Linked DNA regions of Arabidopsis thaliana. The protein of the gene in region 1 interacts with the protein of each later gene in a pairwise test. Each region holds a gene or a part of one and is shown in the gene's direction. Other genes may lie near its edges.

Evidence for each region.
Region 2: the proteins of AT1G14340 (region 1) and AT3G07670 interact in a two-hybrid assay, tested with the Arabidopsis thaliana proteins (one large-scale study listed by BioGRID).
Region 3: the proteins of AT1G14340 (region 1) and SARA1A interact in a two-hybrid assay, tested with the Arabidopsis thaliana proteins (one large-scale study listed by BioGRID).

Annotation. Positions count from the first base shown.
Region 1 is NC_003070.9:4,895,123-4,899,621, forward strand, and holds AT1G14340 (RNA-binding (RRM/RBD/RNP motifs) family protein), read left to right. Parts: upstream 1-2,223; 5' UTR 2,224-2,328; intron 2,329-2,572; 5' UTR 2,573-2,586; coding exon 2,587-2,705; intron 2,706-2,796; coding exon 2,797-2,872; intron 2,873-2,957; coding exon 2,958-3,071; intron 3,072-3,228; coding exon 3,229-3,654; 3' UTR 3,655-3,913; downstream 3,914-4,499. Other genes in the region: AT1G14345 (NAD(P)-linked oxidoreductase superfamily protein), read left to right, coding at 4,054-4,499.
Region 2 is NC_003074.8:2,449,454-2,455,913, forward strand, and holds AT3G07670 (Rubisco methyltransferase family protein), read left to right. Parts: upstream 1-2,110; 5' UTR 2,111-2,197; coding exon 2,198-2,581; intron 2,582-2,674; exon of another isoform or gene 2,675-2,742; coding exon 2,743-2,906; intron 2,907-2,984; coding exon 2,985-3,068; intron 3,069-3,216; coding exon 3,217-3,274; intron 3,275-3,428; coding exon 3,429-3,482; intron 3,483-3,730; coding exon 3,731-3,802; intron 3,803-3,903; coding exon 3,904-3,984; intron 3,985-4,166; coding exon 4,167-4,339; intron 4,340-4,442; coding exon 4,443-4,545; intron 4,546-4,631; coding exon 4,632-4,763; intron 4,764-4,854; coding exon 4,855-4,977; intron 4,978-5,077; coding exon 5,078-5,164; 3' UTR 5,165-5,629; downstream 5,630-6,460. Other genes in the region: AT3G07660 (flocculation protein (DUF1296)), read right to left, coding at 64-107, 754-919; p24beta2 (emp24/gp25L/p24 family/GOLD family protein), read left to right, coding at 6,174-6,371.
Region 3 is NC_003070.9:2,963,055-2,966,803, forward strand, and holds SARA1A (secretion-associated RAS super family 1), read left to right. Parts: upstream 1-1,968; 5' UTR 1,969-2,092; coding exon 2,093-2,221; intron 2,222-2,329; coding exon 2,330-2,461; intron 2,462-2,566; coding exon 2,567-2,887; 3' UTR 2,888-2,918; downstream 2,919-3,749. Other genes in the region: AT1G09176 (uncharacterized protein), read left to right, coding at 1,098-1,550; AT1G09190 (Tetratricopeptide repeat (TPR)-like superfamily protein), read right to left, coding at 3,209-3,749.

The DNA of each region.
Region 1 (4,499 bases):
AGATTACATAGATTTGAATGTAACTAACTTATCACATCTTATATCTAGTCTTCTAAATTTTGCTGTCTATGGATAATATAACATAATATATGGTATATAAACAACACATTATGATAAATATCTTAAATACATTCACTTTAATGGGATCGTATGAAAACATTTTGTGTTTCTTTTGGTCATAATTGCAAGTTGAAGTATTGGTTAATGCTGACCATCAGGCAAATACGAAGAGTAAACAATACATGATTAACATCTAAGAATTGTTTGTTCTGGTTTCGGCCGTTTTAGTTTTCGGTGGATATGGAAAAATGTGTAGAACAAAAAGGTTCAGAACTCCAGAATTCTACCACACAAAAGAAATTGTTTCAGGTTTGACGCTTATAATTTATGATTTGTGGAACAATGACAAAGATTATCATCGACTAATCTTAGAAGACACTTATTAAGAATCACATATGAAAAAAGCTTACTAGATACAAATAATATAATAACAATAAACAAACTCTATTAACAATAGAGGAAAATTGGGAGATATCAACTTGGAATGTGATATTTGAATCGACTAATCGAGTCAATTAAAGACAAAGAAAATTATGATTTAAGAAAAACAGGTGAGTTTGATAAAACACGTTGTAGTCTTGTTGTAGATCTCCGAATTGACGTCAACTCAATATCAAAATCTTTCACTATGAAATTCAAAATCCGAATCAAAACGTCTAACCTAGCTATAGAATATATACATTAGTCAATGGTCAACCTTTTATATTTTATTGTTATAATCATATATGGTGAAGATAATTGTATTTGGAGGACCAATATTCAACTATTTCCTGTAATTTAGAACATTTATTTTTTTCTTAAATATATGTTTTTTGCTTATATATAGTCGCAATTTTTAGAAGTTCCATAATCCATATACTTGAACTTCTAAAGCTATAGTCGCAAGCACCTTATTGTTGTTGTTTAATAAAAGTTCTAATTTTGGTAGACAAGTGAAAAAACAAAATTAAACTATCTGGTGTTTACATATATGAAAAATATACATTTCCAGCAGTGAATTTTGGTTTTGCATGAAAAATACATAAATAGCAATTCACTGCAGCAGGGGTCAGAATATAGAAACATGAACCACACACATAAAAAAAAAGTAGATTCTGACTAGATCAATCTGAATTAAAAACTAGTAAATTTTGACAGACGGACGTGGCCGTGGAAAGAAGTAGAAAGAGACAATGAGAGATGGAGAAAGAGAGACGTAAGTATTGATTTGGCCAACGGCTCATATGCAAAGAATATTAATAATAATAATGTTCTTTGCGTTTTTTTACCAATTACATCAAACATTTGTTAGGCACACGTCTTTTCTTTTTCTCCTTTTTAGTTAAGGGCATCTCCATCCATGAAAAACCCACAAAGTTTCTCAAACAAAAAAAAATTAATATTATATTATAATTTGATTTTTTGATTAAAAAAATATTTTTATTAAAAAGTTGAATCAATAATTAAAAGGGAATTATCATGATGGATTGTAGAGAATATCTCAGAGTTTCTCAAGTAAGAAACTTTCTACTCTCTCTCCTTCATTTTTATTATTTTTATTTTTTAATTGTGAGAAACTCTTATAAAAAACCCCCAATGAAAATGGTCTAACTTTCTTTTCCGTTGAATTTCTCTCATGTATTAACAGTAACATAAGTATTTATATCACATACACTTGTCAAATTTGTCTCTTTAGAGATTTTAAAAAGTTATCACTTAGAGAACTTTTACCTGTTTGGACTTTGGACGGTTAGACAGATAATATCTAAAATTACTCCAATTTTTATATATACATGCAATACTAAGGTATAAAAAAGGTTCTAGAATGTTAAAATCGTTGCTGAAAAAAAACAAAATCGTCTATAGATTGTTAATTTTTGCTTCTTGTACAAACACTTAGTAATGATTAATGATTTAATTTTAATATGTAAAGACTGATTTTTAAAATAAAAAATAGCATAAGATGAAAATTTATGTTTCAAAAAATATTTGTGATTATGGGTTGTTTGAGACTGGAAAATAATCAAACAACATTGGGCCTTTCATGTAGAATTTTTTATTACATTTAGAACCGTTAACGATATGGGCTAACTCAAGACATTAAAGGCCCAACATTGAGTTACTAAACGGCGCAGTTTTTAGCTTTTTAAAATTGCGTCTTTTTCGTTCACTGAAAAGGTAGTCCTTCTCTTTCCCACTCACATCATCAACTTCATCAATTCATCACCTTTGTCTCTCTTTCAAGCTTCTCTGTGTGTGATCTCCGTTGGTCAACAACAACTACAACAGGTAACTTCTATTCTTCGATTCCTTAAATTTCTTCTCTAGAGCTTAGTGAATCAACGATTTAGGTCTGAACATATTTGGCAATCTGTCCTTGCTCAAATTTCGCTTGAAAATTTCAATCCCAAATCATGTAAAGCTAAATCGGAAAGTTCTATGTAGTTCCCAAAGTTGAATCACGAACTGGAAGTAATTTAATTTATTGACTTAGGATATGTTGAAATTTTTAGGTTTTTTGTTTTGTTTTTAGCTTATTGAGCAGAGATGGATCATCAATTTGGATATGGTGTTGAAGTTACTGGGTTATCTCCATCTGTTACTCATAATGATCTTATCGATTTCTTCTCTTTCTCTGGTACTATCCAAGATATTGATATTGTCAGGTGAGTCTTTTTACTTTTTAGCAAGTTTGTTGTTTGTTTGCTTATTCTGGATTCAAAAGAGTACACTTTGTAATGTTGTTAATGAGACTAGGTCGGGTGAGCAAGCTTGTACTGCTTATGTGATGTTTAAGGATTCTTATTCTCAAGAAACTGCTGTTTTACTCACTGTAAGTGTTAGTTTGGATTTGATTCACTCTTTCTATCTTTTTTGGATGTCTCTTGAGAAATCACTCACTTCTTTGATATCTTCAGGGCGCAACGATATTGGATCAGCGTGTTTGTATAACTCGTTGGGGACAACATCACGAAGAGTTCGATTTCTGGAATGCGACTTCGCGAGGTTTTGAAGATGAATCGGACTCACAAGTATGTATCGCTTTTGACACTTCTCTCAACTTTGATCTTTCTGTCTTCTTTTTTTGTTAAAATAGTTAAATCTAACGGTCACTGGTTCAGTAGTCTTTATGTTGAAGTTTGATGCTTGGTCTCAATTCTAAAGCTTATTCGTTCTTCAATCATGTAGCATTATGCTCAACGAAGCGAGTTCAACGCTGGAGAAGCAGTGACAAAAGCTCAAGAAGTGGTGAAAATAATGCTTGCCACAGGATTCGTGCTAGGCAAAGACGCTTTAAGCAAAGCTAAAGCCTTTGATGAATCCCACGGCGTATCAGCTGCAGCGGTGGCTAGAGTATCTCAACTAGAACAGAGGATTGGTCTTACTGACAAAATCTTTACCGGACTTGAAGCTGTTAGAATGACTGACCAAAGGTATCATGTTTCAGATACAGCTAAATCAGCTGTCTTTGCCACAGGAAGAACCGCGGCAGCAGCTGCAACTAGTGTTGTCAATAGCAGTTACTTCTCCAGCGGAGCTCTTTGGCTGTCTGGTGCATTAGAGAGAGCTGCTAAAGCCGCATCTGATCTCGGTACCCGCGGCTCAAGGCAGTGAATAGACCAATGGCCCGATTCAGAACCGTATTCGTCTGTGAATATATATGATGCAAAGCTGATCATGAATAACTGGCTCATGAAGTGTGATAAGACCAAATTTTATCAAAACGAATACCATATAGAAATCTATCAAAGTATACTCTCACATGATGATGCTGATATAGAGTTTGGTTACATTACCTACATCTTAACTCTTCATTAGTAGCATAATCTTTTTTCTTATATAATTTCTGATTTATATCATTCTATGGTTGATATTGATTCAATATTTGGATAGATGTTGTATCCATAGAGCTTAGGCCACGTGGCACAATTTGCGCCAAAAAATCAAATCCAAAAAACAGAGAAGTCATCATCTTTTCACTCCAAATCTTCCAGTCACTCAAATCATTCTCTCATGGCAGCTTCTTCCTCAATTCCGCCGTCAACCGCCGTAACCTCCGTCGTTCGCAAATCTCTCCTCCTCTCAACCACCTTCTCCTTCCCCGCTTCTTCATTGTCTCCCTCCACGAAACTACCACAAAGACACATTCAAAGATTGCTCCTAGCTTCCTCCTCCGCATCCGCATCCACCGTTCCTTCCGATTCCAAACCGGCGAAGAAAGAAACAGTCTACTTCGACGGCGGAGCTCATTACGGAGATCTATTAGCCAATCTCATTCTAGGTCTAACCATCCTTTGGCTCCCACTAACCTTAGCTGCAGTGTCTCGAGCTTTTAACCTTCGTTACAGGTTCACTAACCTCCGCGTGACGGTTATTTCGGGACTCACCGGAGATGATCGGAGCGATTTCTCGTACAAAGTGATAAAAGACGTTCAAGTTGTGCCGAGGTTCATCGGAGA
Region 2 (6,460 bases), on another chromosome or scaffold:
TTAATAGACATCCTTTACACAGAAACCCATGAAGAGACCAAAAGAACTGCAAAAACCCCATACCTCTTTCCTCTTATCACGCTTTTTTTTAACCTCATGGAATGGATCTGCAGAGTCATAAACAATTTTTTGCATTAGCACATAAGATTGTATAGAAAAACACAACAAAAAAAAACTTAAAACATATCCTAGCAACCATCTCTAAATTACATGGTACACAAGCAGGTTACATGAAGCACTCGAAAAGCCTGATGCAATACCACATCTCCAAAGAATCCTATTTTCATAACAATTTGTTTTGGTAAGATGATGAAAATGTGGATTTCTAAGCACTAGATTCATCTACAACGCAGCAGTCTTTGTTTAGAACTCATACCTAGCAAAAGTATTATTCCTAGACAAACCACTCAGAAAAATTCTAGTTAGAAGCTAATTCTCTTTGTTTCACACATCACTAGTGTAAGTAATTGATTCCCGTATATTCCAAATCAATTCGTGAACCTTTTTTTGTGAAAAGGAGGTTACAACACAATATCACATAAACAACTAGAGACAGCTTAAAACTTAATAGGCGAAGAAACCGATGATAGTGAATTCAGATAAAATCTGAAAAAAAAAAATCAAAGAGCAGAGAAATCAGATGCTAAAACCTAAGTTACAGGAGAAAACCCCAAATCGAAAAATACAATCTCGATCCAATCAAAGAAGAGAAATTAGGTAAAGAAAAAAGTGCAGAGAAGGTCGAGATTATACCCTGAAGAAGTAAGCGTTGAGCGGTCTCATCAGGATCCATGTTACATTCATGAAGCATTGCGATAATCTCATCCTCGCTATAGTTCCCAGCAGTGGTCTCCTTAATGTTCTGAATCATCTTCCGAGTAGTAGCCGAAATCGAAACCCTAGCGCCACTGCCGACCATCCTCTCTTCTATCAAACGTAAAATCTCGCTTCTGATATTTTAACAGGAATCGAAATCTGGACCTAGACCAAAAGAGGTCTGAGTACCTATATATGTATACGAAGAGGCGAGTGATAAATCAGTACGAGAGGATGGGATTTGAAACTAGTTTGGGTCGACGAAGGAGAAGAAGAAAGAAGAAGGAACAAGAAAAAAAAAAAAAAAAGAGGAAGGGGGCGAGAGAAAGGAATGAGCAAAATAATACGCACTGTGATTTTGGAAGCGTAGGGCTCTCTTTTCTTTTTTCAATTTTGTTTTGCATTCCTTTGTAGCTTTTTAATATTGAGTTTTTTTGTTTGTTTTAATCTGAATCTTTGGTAAATAATGATAACCAAATTGTTGTCACAATCTTTTTTTGTCCACAAATATATTTAAATTAGGATTTAGGATATCTTCTGAATATTTACACTACATAATAATGACAAACATAAAACATAGTATTTAAGAAAATAAGAAGAAGATAAGTTTTGATTGTAACTTGATCATATTAAATCTCAACTATCTCAAACGATGTTACCCATATCATTATGAGATGAGCGATTTAATGATTAGCATATTATTATTTATATTTTTACATCTCAGTAACGTATTATTGTTTTCTATGTAAATATTTAAATTATCAAATAATTATAATACGTTATTATTATCCCCACCATGATAATTACATATATATTTAATTTACTGAATAAGTTTATTTTTTTTGTCTTTGGTAATTTCTTTTACAATACCAAATTAAAATATTTTAAAAATTGGATTTCAAAAACATAATGAGTTATATGGTTGTCCAAATATTTACCAGGTCCAGTACGCTTTTAGCATTATTAATAGCAATTAGCAACTCTAGGGATTGTCATTTACATAAACAAATCTTCAATTTTTTCATTAATTTTCCTGTGTTTTGGGTCCCTATTGCTTCTAAATTCTAATAAACCGTCCAGATATTGCTGTTATGGAAACAATTTTTCAATAAATCTCATCAACTGATTCTATCAAAATCTAATCACTAGGCTTTTTCCCATTAGCATTAGCGCATAACAAAGTTTTGAATATTAATATCATTATCCATAGGCAGCTTAGATTTTTTTTCCTTAGCATCAAATTAAACTCAAAACCGAACCAAACCGTAAATCCACAAACTAATTTTGGTTCGAATTTAAAAACATTATCTTTTAATTTTGTCATGCCCCCTCTGCTAAGTGCAACCATTCGTCTTCTCGCTTCATCGTTTTCTCTTTTCCGATGGCAAAAGCTTGCCTCTTGCAGTCTACTCTACTCCCAGCTTACTCTCCACTTCACAAACTTCGTAATCAAAACATCACCCTCTCTTTCTCACCGCTTCCGCTGTCCCGATGCCGTCCCGGAATCCACTGCTCAGTTTCGGCCGGTGAGACTACAATACAATCCATGGAGGAAGCTCCGAAGATATCATGGGGATGCGAGATTGATTCACTTGAGAACGCTACTTCTCTTCAGAACTGGCTCTCTGATTCAGGTCTCCCTCCGCAGAAAATGGCTATTGATAGAGTCGACATCGGTGAGCGAGGCCTCGTCGCTTCACAGAATCTCAGAAAAGGAGAGAAATTGCTCTTCGTTCCTCCTTCTCTCGTCATCAGTGCTGATTCCGTAAGTTCACACTCCTAATTTCACTCGGAATCAAAGAATCTAATCTTATATTCCTTGATCTCACTTGCAAGCAATCCCTCACCTCTTGTTCAGATCAATGCAAGGTTAAAGTATCTGGCTTTCATGAATGTGAATATCTAATATCGGAGATTGGGTTTTAGGAATGGACCAACGCAGAAGCTGGTGAAGTGATGAAACGTTATGATGTTCCAGATTGGCCTTTGCTCGCCACTTATCTTATAAGTGAAGCAAGTCTTCAGAAAAGCTCAAGATGGTTTAACTATATCTCAGCTCTTCCCCGACAACCTTACTCGCTTTTATACTGGTAAGTTTTGTACTTGTTTCTGTAGCTGAACTTTGGTCTCAGTTTCTTACTCCCTACAGCCTTTTTGTACTATTTCAGGACTCGGACAGAGCTTGATATGTACTTGGAAGCTTCTCAGATTCGAGAACGGGCAATTGAAAGAATCACCAATGTTGTTGGAACGTGAGATATTGTTCTTTCTTTCTTTCTTTCTCTCAACTGCTGGAAATCATTGATGCAGTCACTAGTACTTATTGTTTGTAGGCTAGGGGGTTGATGATTATGTCTTGCAAGACACTGCTCATGTCTTTTTCCTTTTTCTTTTCCTCAGTTATGAAGATCTAAGAAGCAGGATATTTTCCAAACACCCTCAACTTTTCCCTAAAGAGGTAACTGGTATACGCCCATTTTGCTACAGCTTACTATTTGGACATGTAATAAGATGCACTTCTGTAATTACAACTAGTGTTGGTTCTATTTTATTATCTGAGCTTAAATTTGTTTTGTCCACATGTATATGAGTGTGCTATTTCTTGGTTGCAGGTTTTCAATGATGAGACATTTAAGTGGTCTTTTGGAATCCTATTCTCACGGTTGGTAAGAACTACTGTATCATAAGCAATCATTATCTTGATAATTGATGTAAATCTAGATGTCTTGAATTTGAAACAACAGACTTGTTCTTTAATCTTAGCATGACTTTCTGCATAATATAGCTGTCTCCAACAATTTATTGTTTGAACAATGACCACTCACAACCAAAATATTGCATTATTTCGTTTCTCTTTCCTTCCGTGTGCTGCGTGCTTGTCTCTGCAATTCAGACTTAAGCTTCTCTAACACAGGTGCGGTTGCCTTCTATGGATGGAAGATTTGCCTTAGTTCCATGGGCAGATATGCTTAATCATAATTGTGAGGTACTTCTACTTATCTTTATGACCAATTAGCTCCTAGATTCTCCTAATCAGAAAGCATGATTGACTTATGGTAATCAATATTTCAAAATCTGCTTGGAAAGGTTGAGACGTTCCTGGATTATGATAAATCTTCAAAAGGAGTTGTCTTTACAACAGATCGACCATATCAACCAGGTGAGCAGGTAAATAAGATAAATTCATTCAGATAACCTGAGCGAGCATTGAAGTTTAATATAAGTCAGTGTATAACACAAAGAAGTCCCGTTTACACAGTTTGCCTTTTAGCGCTTCAGTAAGTCAGTCCAAAGTGGAACCAATGTTGTCTGAAGTCTCTGATATGTTTCAGTAACATGACATTGTGCAGGTTTTCATATCCTATGGGAATAAATCTAACGGAGAGCTATTGTTATCTTATGGGTTTGTTCCCAGAGAAGGAACCAATCCTAGTGATTCAGTAGAACTAGCATTATCACTTAGGAAAAACGATAAGTGTTACGAGGAAAAGCTGGATGCTTTAAAGAAACACGGATTATCGACGTATTCCATTCTCCACCATCCATGTTCCCCTCTCAAATTTGTAGATCTCTCTTGATTAACTTGAGTTTTGTTTTGATTGTTTGTGTTAACTTTTCTCTGGCAGACCTCAATGCTTTCCCGTAAGGATAACGGGTTGGCCAATGGAGCTAATGGCATATGCTTATCTTGTGGTGAGCCCTCCAGATATGAGAAACAACTTTGAAGAGGTTTGGCAACTCCATCTTGACCCTTTTTACCATCCAATTCTTCCCAAATTCATAATACATCTCTTATCAATTATTATCCATTTCAGATGGCGAAAGCTGCTTCAAATAAGACATCAACAAAGAATGATCTAAAATATCCTGAAATCGAGGAAGACGCATTGCAGTTCATACTGGACTCATGCGAAACAAGCATATCAAAGTACAGCCGATTTCTAAAGGTAAGTAACAAAACAGCTCATCTCTCTCTCTTTGTGGGAAAATTTTCACTCCATCTGCTTATAGTTTGCTTTGTCAATTATCTAATTGTAGGAAAGTGGATCAATGGATTTGGACATAACATCTCCAAAACAGTTGAACCGAAAAGCGTTTCTGAAACAGCTAGCTGTAGACTTGTCCACTAGTGAGCGCAGGATACTGTACCGTGCTCAATACGTAAGGAACAACTTTCTAGCCAATACGATAGATAAGAGTCTGTGGATCGATCCATGATATTGTGGAATCTGTGTTTTTTTTTTTGTTTTGTTTGGGTCAGATTCTGAGGAGGAGACTGAGAGATATCAGAAGTGGTGAGCTGAAGGCTCTACGGCTCTTCAGTGGACTTAGGAACTTCTTCAAGTGAATGTTGAATGAGGACATTTCAACAGCTTTAAGATGGATCAAAGGTAGGCCTCGTTGTGCTTCAACCAAAAATGTAGTTTTTTATTACAAAAAAATTGAACGTTGGTGTAGGCATGGTTGGATCTGTCTCACTCGTATAGGAATATATTGGTCCAGCCATATATGTAATTTGATCATTTTCTATAAACTCAAAACCTGAACCTAAATTGATTAATTAAGGAAACGCATGAGAGAGTAAGGGTAGAAACATGTTCTTCGTATTTGATCCGAATCGAACTGAAATAATCGATCCAACAAACAAAGATAATTTGAAAATTAAGAATATATCTGACTACAACTCATAACGAAAACCGTACCAAAACTCACACTCCTTGTTACCGCAAACAAGATAATCTGATGGTACACGTCAGAACATTTGTTTCTTTAGCAAAGCAAGTAAACATTCCACTGTGGCAAAGTAAAAAACGAGAAACCTATAAAGTCTTCCTAATGAAACGTACTGATTTTATGGAGTTTCCATTTTCGACATAATATGACGTGGCAATATCTAAATGGTTTAAAGATGTTTTATCTCCAATGATATAACGCCACGTAAGCCCGCTGACCAAATAACCCAAAGAGTAAGCAAGCGACGTCGTTTATAGTTTGATGATCTTGTCGGGTAACGAAACTGCCCCTTGAGTCAAAACAGGCTTCTTCGTGTCCGATTCTGAACGAGCTCGCTCTTTCTCATCCAATTCTCTCCACCGTCTTCTACTCCGATCAATCTTCAAATTTTCTTAACACTCATCGACCAGATCGAGTTTCCATCGATCTAATCAATCAATCATCAGATTTGATCTTCTCAAGAAGGTAAATCCCTCTCACTCTCTGTGTCAAACCTAATCACCTCGTAGGAATCGAAATTGGAACAATTCAATTTGGTTTGGTTTGGAATCTCTAGTCGATTCTTCTTCTAAACGATTGAATTGCGTTTTGTGCTTTGATATAATTCGAAATTATTGTGGCAGATGAGCTTGAAGGGTACGATCGTATTACTAGGGCTCTTATGGAGCTTCCAGGCTACGTTAGGGATTAGATTCGTGATAGACCGTGAAGAATGTTTCTCCCACAAGGCTGAATATGAAGGTGATACGCTTCATGTCTCTTTCGTCGTCATCAAGTCTGACTCTCAATGGCATTTTAACGAGGATGGTGTAGATCTTGTGGTATGACTTTTTTTCTTCTAATTGAACTTTTCTACATTCTACATTGCAAAATCGTCGAAAATCAATAGAATTGGTATTCCTAAACAATG
Region 3 (3,749 bases), 1.9 Mb from region 1:
GCGTATGTAGAGGTGTTTTGAAAGCCAATATAAACATGATTCGATGGTTTTATAACCAGCTGAATAAAAGTCAGCTTGAAAATTTATTTTTAGTTTTCCTTCGAGATATATATAATTCAGTCAACAAGAAATAAGATATTTAGAAATACAAACGAAAAAAGTTTTGCTTTGATGATTGTAACCACATCTTTGAATGTGACCCTATTGATAATCCAATTCATTGAAAATTATATACTTCAATTTCTTGTAGACTTTTTTCAATAATATTAATTCTTTTTTTTTCGCTTTGTGATACATTCATGGAGTACATGATACCAACTCATTCAAAAATTGGTGAAGATATAATATTTTAATGGTGTATATAATACACACGATATTGGGAAAAAAACAGACACGTATTACCACGAAGTTATATGTTGCTATATATCGTATAATGCTTGGAAACTTGAGACTAATTAGTTTAGCACCAGTTGGTAACCTGATGTAGATTATTGTAAAATGATCTGTGATGCGTGTTGCGGGTCGTGAACGGAATGAGAAGAGGTAGACATTGTAATAGGTTAGTTTAGTTTGGTCACTTAATGTTGTGTATTGATTATGCCTGGAAAATGAAACCAATGGAACGTAACTAGACTCATTCAGAAATTAAACGAAATGAAACAGAAATTAAAGATAGTAAATAGACCTACTTAAGTTAATGTTTGTGCTTGTAATGATCGTAAAATTGAACATAACAAAAATACATAAAGATAGATTTAGCCAGGCCATATCCAAAATTCTTTTTTTTCCTCGTGGGACCTATGACCCAAGCAAAGTTGTTGGGCCTGTTCATAGCTAAGAAAAAGTTAGTTGGCCTTTCCTTAGGAATTTTTCAAAATTTGATAAATGAGAGGCTCGACACCTTACATAAACGTAAATATTTCGCTAATATTGCTCTATAGTAGACTAGTAGTGGCATCCATTTCTTTTTTCCTAGGAAATGAAGTTAGATTTTAGACGTTGACCAGATGAAATATAAACAGAGATCGTACTACACAAAAGCTCATTTTTTCCTTTTTGGGTTAGAGCGATAAATAAACATAAAAGAAAAGATTAGTATGGAGATACACAGATTCATGAAACGTATGGTTCACGTATTACTATTGTTACTAGCGATTCATGCGCATATCCAAGCCGTTGCTTCAATCACAAATACTTCTGTCTCAGCCGTCCATCTGAAACCTAATTCCATCTTAGGTAACAAAACGTGTTGTAAGATAGATTTCCCGGTTTGGCAGCGGGAGCTTCGAAGCAGCGGTGGTGGCGGTGGAGGAGGTCGTGGTGGTGGTGGAGGTGGCAGCAGTGGTCGAGGCGGCAACAGCGGTAAAGGGGGCAGTAGAGGATCTTCTAATAGCGGCGGCCGTGGCAGCAGTGGAAATGGTAATGGCGGTACCGGTGGTGGCCATTCTGTAGGAAGCGGGGGTGACTGCTTCAAACACCGTGGTCTCACCGGAACTACAATATTTCTCGTCTTCGTAAGCACTTTGATTCTTTATGCGTTGAAACAGTAATTACATGTTATTTTATTTCTGTTTCAAAGTTAAATACTCCATTGTATATACACTTTGATCATGTCTGTTGAACAATAAAAAAAATGTATCCTATGTGTTTGAATTAAATGTGGGTAGCTTTCCTCAGACGGCTCATAATAATAACTTGTGGAGGAAATAAACTCTCCTGGGTCCTGGCCATTAAGGTTTTGCCACGTGGTATTAAGCCTTTAATCTTAAAAAGTTTAACGTAATAAAAAACATCGCAACGACAAGTTCTAGGATCCGACGGTTCATATTGATCGAATGACGATGATGACTACCAATCACAAGGCTCCGCATCAATTTACCAGTCCCCATTACCCACGTGTTTTTTAATTTCTTTTTTTGTTTGCATATATATACACTAATGTTACAACATACAACTATATCTTCATCAACGAAACGAAACTTTGATTTTGGTTTTCTGTTCTGTTCTTCATCTCTCTCTGTCTCCCGATTCTGTTCTGGTGATTTTTTTGGTTGTTGTGTGGATTATAATCCGATATCAGGAAGAAGACGTCATGTTTTTATTCGATTGGTTCTATGGAATCTTGGCCTCGTTAGGGTTGTGCAAAAAAGAGGCGAAAATCTTGTTTTTAGGCCTCGACAATGCCGGAAAAACTACTTTGCTTCACATGCTCAAAGATGAGGTAGGCTTTATTACTTCTACGCTCTCTCTTCAACTAATATATGTATTACTGAGAAATTTTGTGATTCTTGTAATCGAAGATGCTTTAATATCGCTTTTGGTGTTGCAGAGATTAGTTCAGCACCAGCCAACACAGCATCCCACGTCTGAGGAACTTAGCATTGGCAAAATCAACTTCAAGGCCTTTGATTTGGGTGGCCATCAGATTGCTCGTAGGGTTTGGAAAGACTGCTATGCCAAGGTTCACATCCTAATCCTAACTAGATTACATGTTTTGTGTTTATTGATTTGCTTATGATGGAACCAAAATCAAATCTTTCTCTGTGTGTGTGTATAAACTATAAAGGTTGATGCTGTTGTCTACCTAGTGGATGCTTACGACAGGGATAGATTTGTGGAGTCGAAAAGAGAGCTAGACGCTCTTTTATCAGATGAAGCCTTAGCAAATGTTCCCTGTCTTATTCTTGGCAACAAGATTGATATACCTTATGCATCCTCAGAAGATGAGCTTAGGTATTACTTAGGTCTCACCAATTTCACTACCGGTAAAGGCATAGTGAATCTTGAAGACTCTGGTGTTCGTCCCCTTGAGGTCTTCATGTGCAGCATCGTCCGCAAAATGGGTTATGGCGAGGGTTTTAAATGGCTATCTCAGTATATCAAGTAGGAAACCAAGACAGCATTGGTGATTTGCTTCACGTTTTATGAATCAGACATCTCACTCTCTCTATTCTGGTTTTCTTTTAAGTTTTAATAGTAGTAAGTCGACTCCAAACTTCTTGTGCATTATACTATTGGCGTAGTTGTGTTTCTTTGTTGAAAGAAACCGAACAAAACAGATTTTTGTTCTAATCAATTCATTAGAAACTAATCAAACCTGGTGGCCGCATTTTCACCGAGCCAGAAAAATACAAATGTGCTTACAAATGAACTTGATTACCGTATTTAGCAATAAGTCTGGCCTCTATTGACAAAAACCAGCTACTTCTCAGACTGAAACATCGCAAATGGTGCTTTGGCCAGTAGACTTTCTAAGGCGGTTCTTTTTCATCAACGTTCGTACCTTCTCCACATCTTGCCATCTCCCTTCCTCTGCATACAAATTAGATAACAACACATAATTCCCCGAATTCCCTGGCTCAATCTTCACTAACTCCATTGCTGCAACTTCTGCTAGCTTTACATCTCCGTGGCTACGACAAGCACTGAGCAGCGACCCCCACATTGCCGCATTTGCGTTTACGGGCATATTTTTTAGAAACTTAAACGCCTCTGTGATTCTCCCACTTCTACTCATTAGATCTACCATGGCACCGTAATGCTCGGTTCTCGCCTCAAGTTTGAATCTTTCCATCATCAAACCAAACAATTCCTCTCCTCTCTCCACCTGACCTGTGTATGAGCAACATGCCAAAACCCCCAAAAATGTCGCTTCATTTGGAGCTACTTTCCCTTCCTCTATCATAGCATCAAACAAGTCTATCCCAAATTCTCCCTTTCCGTTTACGGCTGATCCCGATATCAATGTG